2 linked regions of the Astyanax mexicanus genome follow. The protein of the gene in region 2 purifies or fractionates together with the protein of the main gene of each other region. This does not show direct contact. Links are inferred from orthologs where the notes say so. Each region holds a gene or a part of one and is shown on either strand. Other genes may lie near its edges.

What was found.
Region 1: the proteins of wdr77 (region 2) and sirt7 purify together in Homo sapiens (affinity purification with mass spectrometry; 3 studies listed by BioGRID, with this or other methods). This does not show direct contact. The link is inferred for Astyanax mexicanus from reciprocal best matches to the Homo sapiens genes WDR77 and SIRT7.

Annotation. Positions count from the first base shown.
Region 1 is NC_064423.1:31,808,439-31,815,525, forward strand, and holds the start of sirt7 (NAD-dependent protein deacetylase sirtuin-7), read right to left. Parts: upstream 3,022-7,087; 5' UTR 3,016-3,021; coding exon 2,911-3,015; intron 2,514-2,910; coding exon 2,376-2,513; intron 1,621-2,375; coding exon 1,516-1,620; intron 1,421-1,515; coding exon 1,350-1,420; intron 1,241-1,349; coding exon 1,168-1,240; intron 885-1,167; coding exon 786-884; intron 544-785; coding exon 307-543; intron 217-306; coding exon 136-216; intron 1-135. Other genes in the region: srsf11 (serine/arginine-rich splicing factor 11), read left to right, coding at 4,456-4,577, 5,992-6,125. UniProt on the Homo sapiens protein: NAD-dependent protein-lysine deacylase that can act both as a deacetylase or deacylase (desuccinylase, depropionylase, deglutarylase and dedecanoylase), depending on the context. Specifically mediates deacetylation of histone H3 at 'Lys-18' (H3K18Ac).
Region 2 is NC_064431.1:32,443,517-32,451,253, reverse strand, and holds the start of wdr77 (methylosome protein 50), read right to left. Parts: upstream 3,001-7,737; 5' UTR 2,849-3,000; coding exon 2,767-2,848; intron 1,632-2,766; coding exon 1,446-1,631; intron 1,351-1,445; coding exon 1,209-1,350; intron 189-1,208; coding exon 139-188; intron 1-138. UniProt on the Homo sapiens protein: Non-catalytic component of the methylosome complex, composed of PRMT5, WDR77 and CLNS1A, which modifies specific arginines to dimethylarginines in several spliceosomal Sm proteins and histones.

The sequences.
Region 1 (7,087 bases), on a different chromosome or scaffold from region 2:
ATAGTACTTCCTTAGTCCCTGTGCTTCTTACACTTTCATGACTATACTGTGTGTACTGTGTGGCTACAAGTGTGAATTTGTGAAGTTACACTGCAGGACTGTAGCTGGAGCCAAAAAGTAAGTGTGAGTCATTACCTGTAAGTTGACGATGTACAGCTTTGGTCTTTTAGCTGCTGGCTTCTTCATAGACCACAAGCATGCATACTTCTTCAGGACCTGCCAATGTGCCACATACAAAAATCAGATATTGCCATAATCATAACAGAAAGGTACAGCTAAGGAGAGTCACATGAATCGCTGCATTACCTTCAGACTGGAGCCGAGGCAGAGGATGAGGTCAGCCTGCTCTGCAGCCTCGGCAGCACCTTTCCAGTTGAGGGGTTGTTCCAGGGTGCCTCGCTCTCCAAAGTGCACGATGGTGTCCTTCAGCTCTGCTCCGCAGTGGGGACACCTCCTGCCTGTTCCGTGCCTGTGCAGCGCTGTGCGCTCGGTCACGTCAAACAGTCGAATGATCTCCCGTACTGGAGAACATGAGACACAGACCTGTATGGAATGAATGGGCATGTTTAGGACTGGAGAATAAGAGTGAAGAACATTTTGATTTTGATGGTTTCTGATTGTAAATTAATACATGCCAACAGACTAAAAAAGAATTTTCGGCACACAGCACACATTTGTGCTGTTAGCTTGCTGTGTCAGGAACTCAAGATGATAAATATTTAGATTTTCCTATGCAACTAAAGATATGGTTAAGTTTGACAGCCATAAGAAAGTATGAGGGTCACCTCTATGAACATATTCCCATGTAGCTCAGAAAGGGCGGGTCTGGGAAGGCCACTGCGCAGGTGGAGGCCGTCACAGTTTTGGGAGACCACATGTTGAACCTGCACGTAAACAGAGGTACTTTAGTCTGCATGCAAACACCAAGTACTGGCTGACATTCATGAATACATTGAAAAAATTATTATTAAAATAATAATTATAAAATCTAAGCAACATTTTTTGTCATATTTCCCTAACCACTGCCTCGTCTCTGACACTCTCTATGCTCATGATGGTCCTAATCAAGTCTATTGCTACGTCCAAAATTGCATAATACAGTACTATCACAGACTCATTTTTGGTTCTAAGAGTTACTCCTTGGTCTTTAAATAATAGCATACTGACCATTTTGATTTTGTGTAACATCCGGATGCACATGTGCGTCAGAGTCGGGTCTGCATCACTGAGGTCAGAAGCCCTGTGGAACATAATGTGACACAATGTGACACAATGTGTGGGGGACAATAATTATTTTTTATTTTGTATAAAAACAGAAGAAGTGGAGAAATGCACACTGCATCACTCACATAACAGTCCGTCCCTTCTGCAGCTGGGTCCATACTCCGTTTGGGCCACGGTAATCTGGGATGGATGCGGCCTGTCAAACATGAAACAATGATGGTTAATATTTGAAGCGTTTATTATGCATGCAGTAAAAGAAAGTACATCCTCTGAGGCTGGAGTTGATAGTACCGTGCTGATACCGGCTCCTGTGTAGATGACAGCATGCTGAGCTTGACGCATGGCTTCAGCCAGCTGTTTCACTTTGGTCCTCAATTCGTCCTCATCATCAAACAGCTAAAAGCAGCAGAGCACAAAGGTAATTCATCGAAGTGGCAAAATATTTCCATTTTGTCGAAAACCATTAAAAAAAATTATTATTAATGCTGCTTTGATACACAAATCTAAAACAAAATACAAAAAAAATTATATACAGGTACATATCAATAAAGTAGGGTATCATCAAAAAGGTCATTTATTTCAGTAATTCAGTTTAAAAACTGAAACTATTATAGATTCATTACACACAGAGTGATCTAGAGTATCTTTTTATGTTGATGATTACGACAGATAATAAAAACTGCAAAGTCAGTGTCTCAGAAATTACCCACACTGCCAAAATGACCAATATCTAGTTTAATAATCATAATATCACTGTGCTTGATTGACCAGCGAATTCACCTGAGCTTGAAATCTATGGACTATTGTCAATAGGAAGATGAGGTGGGCTTTCATAACACCTCAATGCCACAGCAGTGCCACAGGCTGAATTAATATTGATAATATTGTACATACTTTTCAGTGTGTCAGCATTTCTGTATTTTTTTTTTCATATAAAATTTTAATTTAAATGTAATTTAAAATACTGACTGACTGGGGTTTTCATTACCTGTAAGCCATAATCATAAACATTAACAGAATTAAATGCTTAAAATAGCTGACTGTGTATAATAACATCTATATAATTTAACTTTTTGAGGAAATTATATTCTAAATGATTAAAATGCACCAGTATAGCAATTTAAAGAACAACCATATAAAACCAAACTCACCTCTTCTTGCTTCCTCTTCAAGGTGTTTCTTCTGACCCATCGCTTGTTTAGCTCTTGGACAGTTTCTTGGTGAGAGTGAAGCAGAGAAATCTCCTCTTCTGTCCGCTCACACTCAGATTTCTTCAGTATTCTGGAAACCTGTACAAAACAGATTAACCAGCAGAGCGTACAATATTTGCAATAAATATTGACTTGACTTATTGTTAATATTTATTATTTGTATTTATTTAATGCCTTATTGCAATAGGTGAGATATAGTTGTCTATAGTTGACTGTGTTTTTTTTTTATTAGTTCATGCTTATTATTGTTTTATATTACTATCTGTCTGTCTGTCTGTCTGTCTACATATACACACATTTTAAAGTTTAGTATAACAGCTGTTATTAATGAAGCTGGGGCATTTAAACACCCCCGACAGACTAGGCTATCTTACCGGCTAGCTAAGTATCTAAGTTACATTACTAGCTAAATTAGCGTTTATTAAACCAGGTGTAAATCTTTTAAGAAGGGAAATAAAGCAGCTGATATATTCACCAGATTAAAGGTCTCTCTCTGAGTCTCTTTCTGAATGATTTTCTCCTTTTCCAGAGCTTTTCTCTCTGCTCGGGAAAGCACAGCACCTTCTGTTTGGGTCTCCATTCTTGTACTAGCTTTCCTGATTCAAAACAGGAGAGACCCTGCGTTTCATAATAAAAGTCCCACTAAAGTCCCATTAGTTTTTTAGGTTTCTCATATAAAAGAGGAAATCAGTTTAATGTTTGTACTAAAAGAAAAAAAATAATCGAATAGATTTGTTTTTATAGATTTAGAAATAACAATAAATAAATAATTAAATAATTAAAAAATAATTAAAATAAAAATAATAATTTGATCAAAATTTATTTTTCACACATAAAATCATAATATTTATACATGATATATGGTACAACTATCACGGAAAAGCCTGATCGCTGTAACAATAACGACAAAAAAAGAAAAATTAAAAATGATATAGATAAATACAACGTACAACATATAAAGATCAAAAGCAAAAATAAATTATTCTGATTATGAAATATAATCAGACTAACAGAGTGACCAACTATGTACAAACTACATAGCTATGTATTATATGAAATATTAAATGTTACAGTTTCTAAACAATAATATAATATTTATAACACAAACGACATACATGAATAGCACTACATATTATGGGCTACATTAAAATGTTTTAATTTACCATGATAAAGAAATGCATGGATTATATTTTTATACTGCCCAAAAGAAGGAACGAGAATATAATTAGAATATCATCGAAAAGTTACTTTATGTCAGTATTTCAGTTCAAAATGTAAATTATATCATATATTATACAGATGTTTTACACACGGAGGGATTTATTTTATGCGTTTATTCATTTTATTGTAAATGATTATGGCTTACCGTCAATGAAAACACAAAAATCTGTGTTTTTTAAAAAAAAAAATCATATTATATGATTTTTTATATATGTGGGCAGTGTGCCAAGTCCTGCTGGAAAATGAAATTCGCATCTCCATAAAACTTGTCAGCAGTGGGACGCTAATAAACGCTTTAAATACTGGTTACTGAAATAAAGTAACTTTTCAATGATATTCTAATTTTTTGAGATGCACTAGTATGCAACACCTAGTCAATATAATTTATTTGTTTGGATTTTTTAACAATTTCAGAAAAGTATTTTATTTAAGATGTTAAGATTTTATTTAAGATGTATTGTGTATGTTATTGTATATATTTCAATTGGCCAATACATTAAAAATAGAATTAAATGTTTTAGACTTTTATTTTGAAAGCCATTGACTTTAGTCAGTTTTCTGCTGGTAGGATCCAGATGAGAAGCGGGGAGCAGTAGCTAGGGAGCCTTTAAATCCGTTAATTAGTTATTAATAGAGAAAGCTGGGTGAATTTGGGCTCTGTGGAGCTGATCTGTAGGTTAAATTCAGGTAAACTCGTATGAGCGGACCGAGCGAGCCGCGGGGAATCGCCTGAATCCTGCTGCTGTTTGTGGGCAGCGCTGATCCGCCAGCGGGCGTTAGTAAACAGCAGGGCCTGATCATGAACAGCAGCACGAACGTGGTTCAGGTCACCAATGTTTCTCCCAGCGCCACATCCGAGCAGATGAGGACCCTGTTTGGGTTCCTGGGGAACATCGAGGAGCTCAAGCTCTTCCCTCCAGAGTGAGTAACTCTAAATACTGCACTGTACCACACTGTACACACAGCGGTGCTTTATATAACACAGCACAACACAACACAGCACAGCACAGCTAACCAGCTGCAGCCTGAGCACTGCAGTGGATATGTCTGAATGGAGCTTCACAGATAATGGTTAGCTAGCCTTTCTAATATATTAATACTACTGTATCTAAAAAAAGGAATATCATTAAAAAAAGTTGCTTTATTTCAGTAATTCAGTTCGAAATGTGAAACTTATATATTATATATCTATCTGTTTTAAGCGTGTATTTCTTTTATTGTTAATGATTATGACCTACAGCCAATGGAAACTCTAAAAGCAGTGTGTGCAGTGTGCCAAGTCCTGCTGAAAAATGAAATCCGCATTTTCATAAAAGTTGTCAGCAGAGGGAAGCATAGAAGACAGTACCCTGTAAGCAAAGAATATTGTATAAACGTTAATATTTGGTTGCATTAACTCTTTTGCATTTATTTTTATCAGCCATAGTTACGAAAATTATGCAAAATATAATATTAATCACTCTTAATCTCTTTTTTTTTTGCTGGAGCAAAAACACTGGCTGTACAACTATCAATCACTGATTTAGGCTAATATTTATTCATTTTAATATCAGATATCTGCATCGGCCTAGAACTCCCACATTTGTGCATCCTCACACAGAATGCAATGTTTTTTTCCCAGGTTTTATACTTTTATTCCACAATTGCCTAAATGCTACATTTTTAACATTTCTGCAGACATATCAACCAAGCACAATATTAAATTATTCAGCCTTTTCACTTATTTAGTAATTTTTAGATGGGTAATTTCTGTTTGCCTGAAGTTTACATGAGGAAAATGTGGTTGTCCAAATAATGAGCTCTTTTACTTCAGTTAAGAAAATAAGGTCTTTATTCCTTGAATCCTTTGGGTCTATAGGCTCACTTATACAGTACTGACCCTAGTGTAATGGACCGTTGATCCATGTATGGCATGAAATGTAGACATATCAAGAGAAATGACTGATAGTGACCTATAGACATAAACAAGTAGAAAGCAGATCCAATCAGAACCTCTGTTTTATAGATGGGGTGGCAGAACCAGTCAGAATCTCTATTTCTGTGTATGACTGAGTAAGAGTTGTAACTCATAGTGTATTTTCTCAGATAGCTAACTTGTGTTCTGCTTTTTTGTTGTTATTTTCCATCTGTCCAAAACACATCAGGTCATAACTTCACGTCATAACGGCAGTTCAGGTAGGACGTGCCTTAGAGAGCCAAGATGGAGCGTTTCTAAAAACACGTACGGGATTCATCAAGGCAATGCAAAGTGTTGAAGCTGGTTTGAGTGGAGAAGGTGTGTGTAAATGTTAGAACTGTCTGTACATCTTGCAAAAGCCTTTATATTTTCTTCCAGTGATTCTCCCTTGCCTGTGACTTCACGTGTCTGTTTTGTAAAGTTCCTCGAATCTGAATCAGTTGGAGTTTCCCAGCATCTGACGAACACGGTCTTCGTGGACAGAGCCCTGATCGTTGTCCCATTCGCTGAAGGTTTGTGCCCGTCTTCAAAACAGCAGAGTATTCTTTCCTGTGTGATGTTTTTTTTTTCATGTACAATCCTTTACAGTCTTGCAGTTTATGTGAGTACACCTGTTTTATATAACTGTAGTTGTACCGGTACAAGGATGACACCTGTAAACATTCCTTAACATGAGTAATACAGGCACAGGTAGTTTCTATTAAACTCTCCATTATTATATACAGCTGTGCAAAAAAAATTAGAGACTACTTCAGTTTATGAACCAGTTTCTCTGATTTTGCTATTTATAGGTATATGTTTGAGTAAAATGAACATTGTTTTTTTATTCTATAAACTATGGACAGCATTTCTCCCAAATTCCATATAAAAATATTGTCATTTAGAGCATTTATTTGCAGAAAATGGCTGAAATAACAAAAAATGCAGAGCTTTCAGATAATGCAAGGAAAACCAGTTCATATTCATAAAGTTCAGAAATCAATATTTGCTGGAATAACCCTGGTTTTAATCACAGTTTTCATGCATCTCCTCCACCAGTCTTACACACTGCTTTTGGATAACTTTACACCACTCCTGGTGCAAAAAATCAAGCAGTACAGCTTGGTTTGATGGCTTGTAATAATCCATCTTCCTCTTGATTATCTTTCAGAGTTTTTCAATTTGGTAAAATCAAAGAAACTCATCATTTTTAAGTGGTCTCTTATTTTTTTTCCTGAGCTGTATTTAAATACCTTATACAGGCTTTAGGGAGCTGCTATGAATATGTGAGAAAATCCCACTAGTTGCGGGAGAAGTGGTATGTCTGTTATTCATCCAGTAAGCACATTTGCTTTACACAAGTTTTGGATAAACTTTTTTTCTGTCATTTGTGTGTGTGTATGTATGTTTGTGTGTGTGTCTGACTTTTTGTAGTGGACAAGGCAATTGCAGAGCCGGCTGGCGACTGACAGGTCCTCTGCTGCCAACAGGGAAC
Region 2 (7,737 bases):
ATCACTCGTTTGAAACCCCTGTTCCCTACTAGTGTCACGCCTTATAATCCTGCGCACTTTATGTATGAAAATGAATCTAAATTAAACTTTTAAACTAAATACATTTGTTTTTCTCGTATAGTGTATAAGTATTCTCACCGCTGTAGCTGCTGATCACCGTCTCCTGACTCAGATCCCAAACTTTAACCCTAAAAACACAGAAGATTCGCTCTTATTAACACCAACATCACTACAACACATGAGCTACACTCACATACAGTGCCATATACCATCTAATGTAGAGCAAATATCCATTAAACTCAGAGAAACACTTTAAAACCATCAGTTTCTCTGATTTTACAATTTATAGGCATATGTTTGATTAAAATGAACATTTGTTGTTTTATTCTGTGAAAACATCTCTCCCAAATTCCAAATAGAAATATAATAAATTTGTCATTTAGAATTTTCATTTGCAGAAAATGAGAAATGTTAAAAACCTCAAATAATGCAAAGAAAACAAGTTCATATTCATTAAGAAATAACAATACTAACGTTTTAAAAACGTTCAGAAATCAATATTTGGTGGAATAACCCTGTTTTATAAATCACAGCTTTCATGTTCTCCTCCACCAGTCTTACACACTGCTTTTGGGTGATCTTATGCCTTTACTCCTGCTACAAAAAAAAAAAAAACTAGTTTAACTTTATTTGTTGGTTTGATGGCTTGTGAACATCCATCTTCCTCTTGATTATATTCCAGAGGTTTTTGACAGGGTTCAGGTCTGGAGATGATTATTAGCCTATTAGCTTTAGCGCTAACTGGTGAGTTTTAACTTCCGTTACTTATAAGCTACATAACATTTAAAGCTCCAGTAATAACACAAGTTTAAGCTTCAATTAGCTTCATGGCTAGGAAGCTACATTATCCTTATTCTTAGCTTCAGTGCTAATTGGTAACTTATAACTTCCATTTTTTGTTAGCTACATTAGCATGCTAAGCTAAGCTGGTGAGTTTAAACTTCCACTACTTATTAGATACATTACCGGTATTCTTGTAGCTCCAGTGATAATATAAGATTAAGCTAAGAAGCTACATTATCCATTATTTTAGCTCCAGTGGTAATTGGTAACTTATATTTCTTGTTAGATACATTAGCATGCTAAGCTAAATGTTGAGGTATAACCCTTGATTACTTCTTAGCTACGTTAGCATTGATGCTGCTGACCTGCAGTCCATGCCGCTGCTGACCGCGTGACCCGCGTCGGCCGTAGGGCTCACTGACGTCACAACGTGATCGTGCTCATGGCGAGTAAACCTGTTTACCAGCAGACGCTCGTCCTCCGCCAGCTCCCATAATTCAACAGCACCTACATAAATAAAGACAATTACGCGAAACATTAGCAAAGAACACAACTGGCCACTGAACCAATCACTAATCGATCAATATCCCCCCTCTGCTCACCTGAGTCTGAGGCGAGGATGATGGCTCTGTTGGTGAGCCACTCAGCGTGGGTAACTCCCGCCTCTGTCTGAACCCCCGCCTTACAGTAACCCTCGTTAGGAGCGAGTTTAGCATCACTGAACACCCAGAGAGAACCGAGCCAACACCGACCCGTCAGACCCGACGCCCCCAACAGCAGAGTCCCATCTGAGAGAAAAACACAGACAAAACACGCTCAGAATACAGCTTCTTCCCCTAGGCCATCAGACTGCTCAACACACAAGAAAGAATGTTTCTTAACGAAACCATAATTACACTGCTCACAGTTTTGAATATTTTTAATGTTAAGCCAAGCCCACTTCTTTGACACAGAGAGGCATGTACAGACATTTACAGACCTAGAAAGACATTTACAGACACAAAGAGACATTAACAAACTTTAAAAATAGAGAAACCTAGACACAAAAAGACATTTACAGACACCGAAACACACACAGAGAAACACAGAGAAAGAAACACACACACACACACACAGACACAGACACAGAAAAACAGACACACACCGAGATACAGATACACAGAAACACAGAGATACAGAAACACAGAGATACAGACACACAGAAACACAGAGATACAGACACACAGAAACACAGAGATACAGAAACACAGAGATACAGACACACAGACACACAGAGATACAGACACAACAGAGATACAGACACAACAGAGATACAGACACACAGAGATACAGACACACAGAGATACAGACACACAGACAGAAACACACAGATACAGGTCACATAAACATACAGAGATAAAGAACACACAGAAACACACAGAGATACAGAAACACACAGAGATACAGAAACACACAGAGATACAGAAACACACAGAGACACAGAAACACAGGGATACAGAAACACACACAGAAACACACAAAGATACAGAAACACACACACACACAGAAACACAGAAACATACAGAAACACACACAGAAACACACAGAGATACAGAGATGCACAGAGATACACAGAGAAACACACAGATATACAGACACACAAACACAGAGATACACAGAAACAGTGATACTCAGAAACACACAGATATACAGAAACACACAGAGAGAAACACAGACAGACACACACACACACACACACACAAAAACACACACACACACACACACACACACACACACACACACACACACAAACACACAAACACACAAACACACACACACACATACACTCACTCACTCACTCACTCACTCACTCACTCCTGCAGCAGGCTGTGGTGTATTTTACCTCTAATTATAGGTAAGGTAAGGGTAGTTAAGGTAAGTTACCTGTTCTGTACTGCAGGGTCTCCAGGTGTCTCTCCATGCACGCGGGCGCGCTCGCGGGGCACCAGCGGCTCTCGGTTAGCATCCTGCAGCTCAGCGCGGCGGCTCTCAGTCTTTACCTGATTATTTACCGGTTTATTTATTTACCGGTTTGTTTGTGAGTCTGTTTTTCCAGCGCGCGAATGAATGGCCGGAGAGATGGAGCAGCGTACATGCGCCTCTGACATCCACTCACTTCCGCTTCCGGATAAAAGTCCCACTTTTAAATGAATAAAAGTCTACTAATATTTTTATTATTATTATTATTATTATTATTATTATTATTATTATTATTACTATCATTTCCAACAGAACGAGCTTTTATAATCCAGAAAATATAAGCAAAATGTTGTCCAATCAGAGCCGGTTTATGGACGGATATGGTTGTTTGCGAGTTTCAGCTACACCCGATAAAATAAGAGTTCATAATATAAAATAAATTACATTTTAAAACTCGCTCATATTAAAAACCTCATACTTTGATTATCTAAGGTTCGTTAAATATAATTAAATAAACTTTTTTTTTTTTTTTTGTCCAATGGCGTTTAGTGCAGGTACAACTTCAACGTAAAAGTCCGTGATCTTGAAGCTGAAATCCAACTATATAAAATGCAGAGTCCTTTAAAAAAAGAAAACAACTAAAAATTAAAATAAAAATGTTATATAAACAGTATATTGTAAAACTATATTGGATTTTTTTTAGGAAACAGTTCCCTGATTAACAGCTTACAGCTAGTAAATAGCATTGGAAATAAAAATGTATGAGCTTTGAAAATGTATTTAAAAAAAGAAAATTTCCCAAGACAAGGTATTTATTCAGGCTTTGGTATTTGAACAGCCAAACTCTCTGTTGTTTTTGGTTCTTCAGCTGAAATTTAACACAAAATATCTCGCAATAAAATCTACATATAAACAGATTGAGTTTTTTATTCTTAAAAAAAAAATAAAATAAAAGTAATTAAGGTTGTTTGAGGTTGTTTATTTTTCATGTGAACAGTTTTAAAATTATAAAATACAAATAAAATCTAAATAATAATGAATATACATTTACAAAATTTACACTTACAATTATAGATACAAAAAATATATAATGTAAGAATAGCAAACACACACACAGCTGCCATCTAGTATTAAACACAGAACATCAGCTGATTTGATTTGCAGTGCATTCTGGGAAACAGTAGATCAATAAGTTACACACATCCATCGCTACACTTTAATGCATGGAACAGTTTTTGCTTAATAGAACATTTTCTGATCTTGACGGTTAATGTTCTTACATTTTCAGGATGTTCTTAGAGTGTTTTTACTTAACATTTTTAAACATCATGGTAACGTCACTGCAATGTTACAGTTTAACGTTAATGGAACCTTTTTAAAATGTTGATAAATGTTCTCAGTGAGCTGAGAAGATGCTACATACGATGGGTGTATGGGGGGAGTGTGTGTTCCAGGGGTCTCCTGTAGGTTAAGGGCCCTCTCTCCTCCTCAAAATGCAGTGAGGGCCTCAGTTCACTGTAAGTGTGTGTGTCTGTGTGAGAGTGTGTGTCTGTGAGTGTGTGTGTGTGTGAGAGAGTGTGTGAGTGTGTGTGTGTGATCTCCCGCAGGGTTGCGAGCAGCTCCTCGTACTGTTCCTCTGGTCCAGTCTGGACGTCCTCAGTGCAGAAGGTCAAACGCAGCATGTCGGCCACGCCCACCACGACCCCCAGCAGAGCCAACACTGAGCCCACCAGGTAAACCCTCAGCAACCCCGGCCTGAACCTCAGAGACAACAGCTCCCGGGCCAGCGGCACCAGCACTCTACTGTCCATCAGCATCATAACCACCGTCCTGATGAGTAATAAATACAAAACACACAGTTAAAACACATTAAAACAACATAAAAACAACCATACAGAAAAAAACTATACAGATAAAACACACCAAACCCCTCAAAACAATTAAACACATTACAATAATACAGATAAAACAAATCAAACACTTAAAAACAAGCAAACACATCAAAGCAATATTGTTTAAACACATTAAACACATCAAAGGAACCAAACACATCAAAACAATACCGTTAAAACACATCAAACACATCAAAACTATACAGATAAAACACATCTAACACTTCAAAACAATACAGTTAAAACACATCATACACATTCAAACATCCAAATACATCAAAACAATTGTTAGACACATCAAAACAACATACAAAAAAACATCAAAACAATACAATTAAAACACCTCAAACACTAAAAACCAACCAAACACACCAAAAATACAGATAAAACACACCAAACACTTTAAAACAACCAAACATATTAAAACAATACAGTTATAACCCACGAAACTCTTTAAAGCAACCAAACACATCAAAACTTTTACTTTTATACTTTAAATAATTTTTGAATCCAGTACTTTTTTAAACACTTTTACTTAAAGAGTAAAATGCTTGAGTTGATTCTTCTTTAACTTCTACTTCTAAGTATTTTATTAAACACTCTATACTTCTAACTACAGAGTAATGATTATTTGTTTATTTTATTTAATGAATAAAGAATAAACAGAGAAATCACACACTGACCTGTCTGAACAGCTCTCTCCACACTGTCCCTCACTTTCCCTCTGTGAGGTTTATACTGGTGTGTGTGCGTGTGTGTGTGTGTGTGTGTGTGTGTGTGTGTGTGTGTGTGTGTGCTGGTGCAGGTATGCTCCGCCCACTGTGTGTTTACACTGTTTACACATTTCCTCTGTGAGTAAGCTGGTTGGCTCAGACAGGCTTGGCTAATGCTAATGCTAATGTGTCTGACACTGCAGACGTCCGGCTCGCTCCGGCTGTAACGCTGGATTATACACACACACACACACGCACACACACACACACACACACACACACACACACACACTAAACTCAGCAGACAGGAATTTCCAAGCTCACACAACATGTAACCTCAGCCCAGTCTGTCTGCAACAGCTTGTTTAAAAAATTGTTACATTTGTCGTATTTTTGGTTAAAAAACGTTTTCACACATTCTCTGCTGATTACAGGTCAGTCCGGTCCAGAACCAGTGTTGTGCCGATTTCAGCACCCCCGCCAGGAAAAGCACCCCCTCTCGGGAGCGCGCACGTACATCTTCTTGGTTTTAACTTTATTTTTCATTATTTCTTTTGAGTCACCGTAGCTTAGAACAGCATATTGAGTATATTCATTTTCTAAAAATAGTCATGTCACCTGCAGCCTTAATTCAATAATGAAATATATATATATTTTATAAAATTTGTAGTCCTATTTTAGCGATCTATAGGCAAGCCATCAACCGTGCACTGTGCAGCTTGATTTAGAGCGCGTTGGTGTGTCTTTGCTATCATAACGGTGGGAAAAGTACACCTTGCATGACTCAAGTTATGTACTAATTCTCTTAATTAATCGTGGGTGTGGTTAATTTTGGGTGTAACATGACATAAACCAATCAGAGTGTCACTTTAAGCTCATCATTCTCTTTAAGAGTAGATCAGGTGAGCTCTGACTTTGGCGGATTGCTATTTTAACAGTGCAGCTACCTGGACCTGGAAACTGAGCTGCTGGTTGACGCTGTGAAGGAGATCCAGCAGCTAATTTACGGGAACAGCAATGTTATTTTATTTATTATTTTGTTTATTGTTGATCTACATATGGCACAGTTGCGTTGCCAAGATAGCAATAAACCAGAAATTTACCTGAACCTCATTTTCAGACCACCACGCCCATCAGTGTAGATATATTCAGAAGCACTGTTGCTATTTAAACAATGCAGGAGGAACGAGTGGAAATAGACTGTTGACAAGGTGTAAGATAGCAATGAGCATCACAACGCATCATGCACATGTTGTAAGACAGGGCCTTCATTATTTATTGGTGTTTTTATCTCATTTAGGTAAAGCATCGGATTGCATATCATCCTGACATTTTCTGATTTGGGGTTTTAGACTGATTCATCCCACCAAACCACGACACACCTCATCGCCATGGAGACCGGCAGCTGGGTGTGTCTGCCTCTGTCTGGCTTTTTGTAGAAAAAGATGAGTCAGAAAACACACACACACACACACACACACACCTGAGGCTGGTTCATACCTGCACTGGAGAATGTACCGCAGATTCAGTGCCTTCAGGCTACACTTTACTGCACACCACACCCAGAACACACATCGTCACCTCACCTCACACACCCTCACACACACACACACACACACACACACACACACTAACACACACTGCCATATGATTACTGTGCCCCAGGCTGAGGAAAACAACTCCAGCACCTTCAGATCTTTGCAACAACACAACCACGTCCCATAATAACCTTCAGCTTCAGTCTTCATAAATGCCTGTTCGCAATTACCTATTTAATACGTTTAAATCACTGTGGCTGTAAATACAGAGCAGAAAAATCTGAACAATTTCAAGAACTTTGAAAGTATCCTCAAGTGCAGTCACCGCAAAAAACATTGAAAACTTTATGATGGAACTGGCACTCATCAGGAATGCCCTGGAAAGGAAGAGCAAGATTTCCTCTGTTGTACAGGAAGTTCATCAGAGTTACCAGCCTCAGAAAGCACAAGTTAACAAACAGCTCCCCAGATAAGAGTATTTAGGTTTGTTTAACACTGTTTTTAAGTTACTACATGATTCCTTATGTGTTCCTTTATAATCTGATAGATCACTTAACTATTAATTTATAATGTAGGAAAAAATATTAAAAATAAAAACATTGAATGAGAAGGTGTGTCTAAACTAAAGTGCAGAGTAATTAGTGCTGTATATACATTTAAAATGATGATATTCTCTGGGTGTGATACGGTATGGCACGGTACGGGCAGGTCAGACTCAGTGATGTTCTGTTATTGCTGATGCTCCTCTGATCTCTCCTGTCAGAACAAGCCCAGAACTGAGAGTTTAACTCA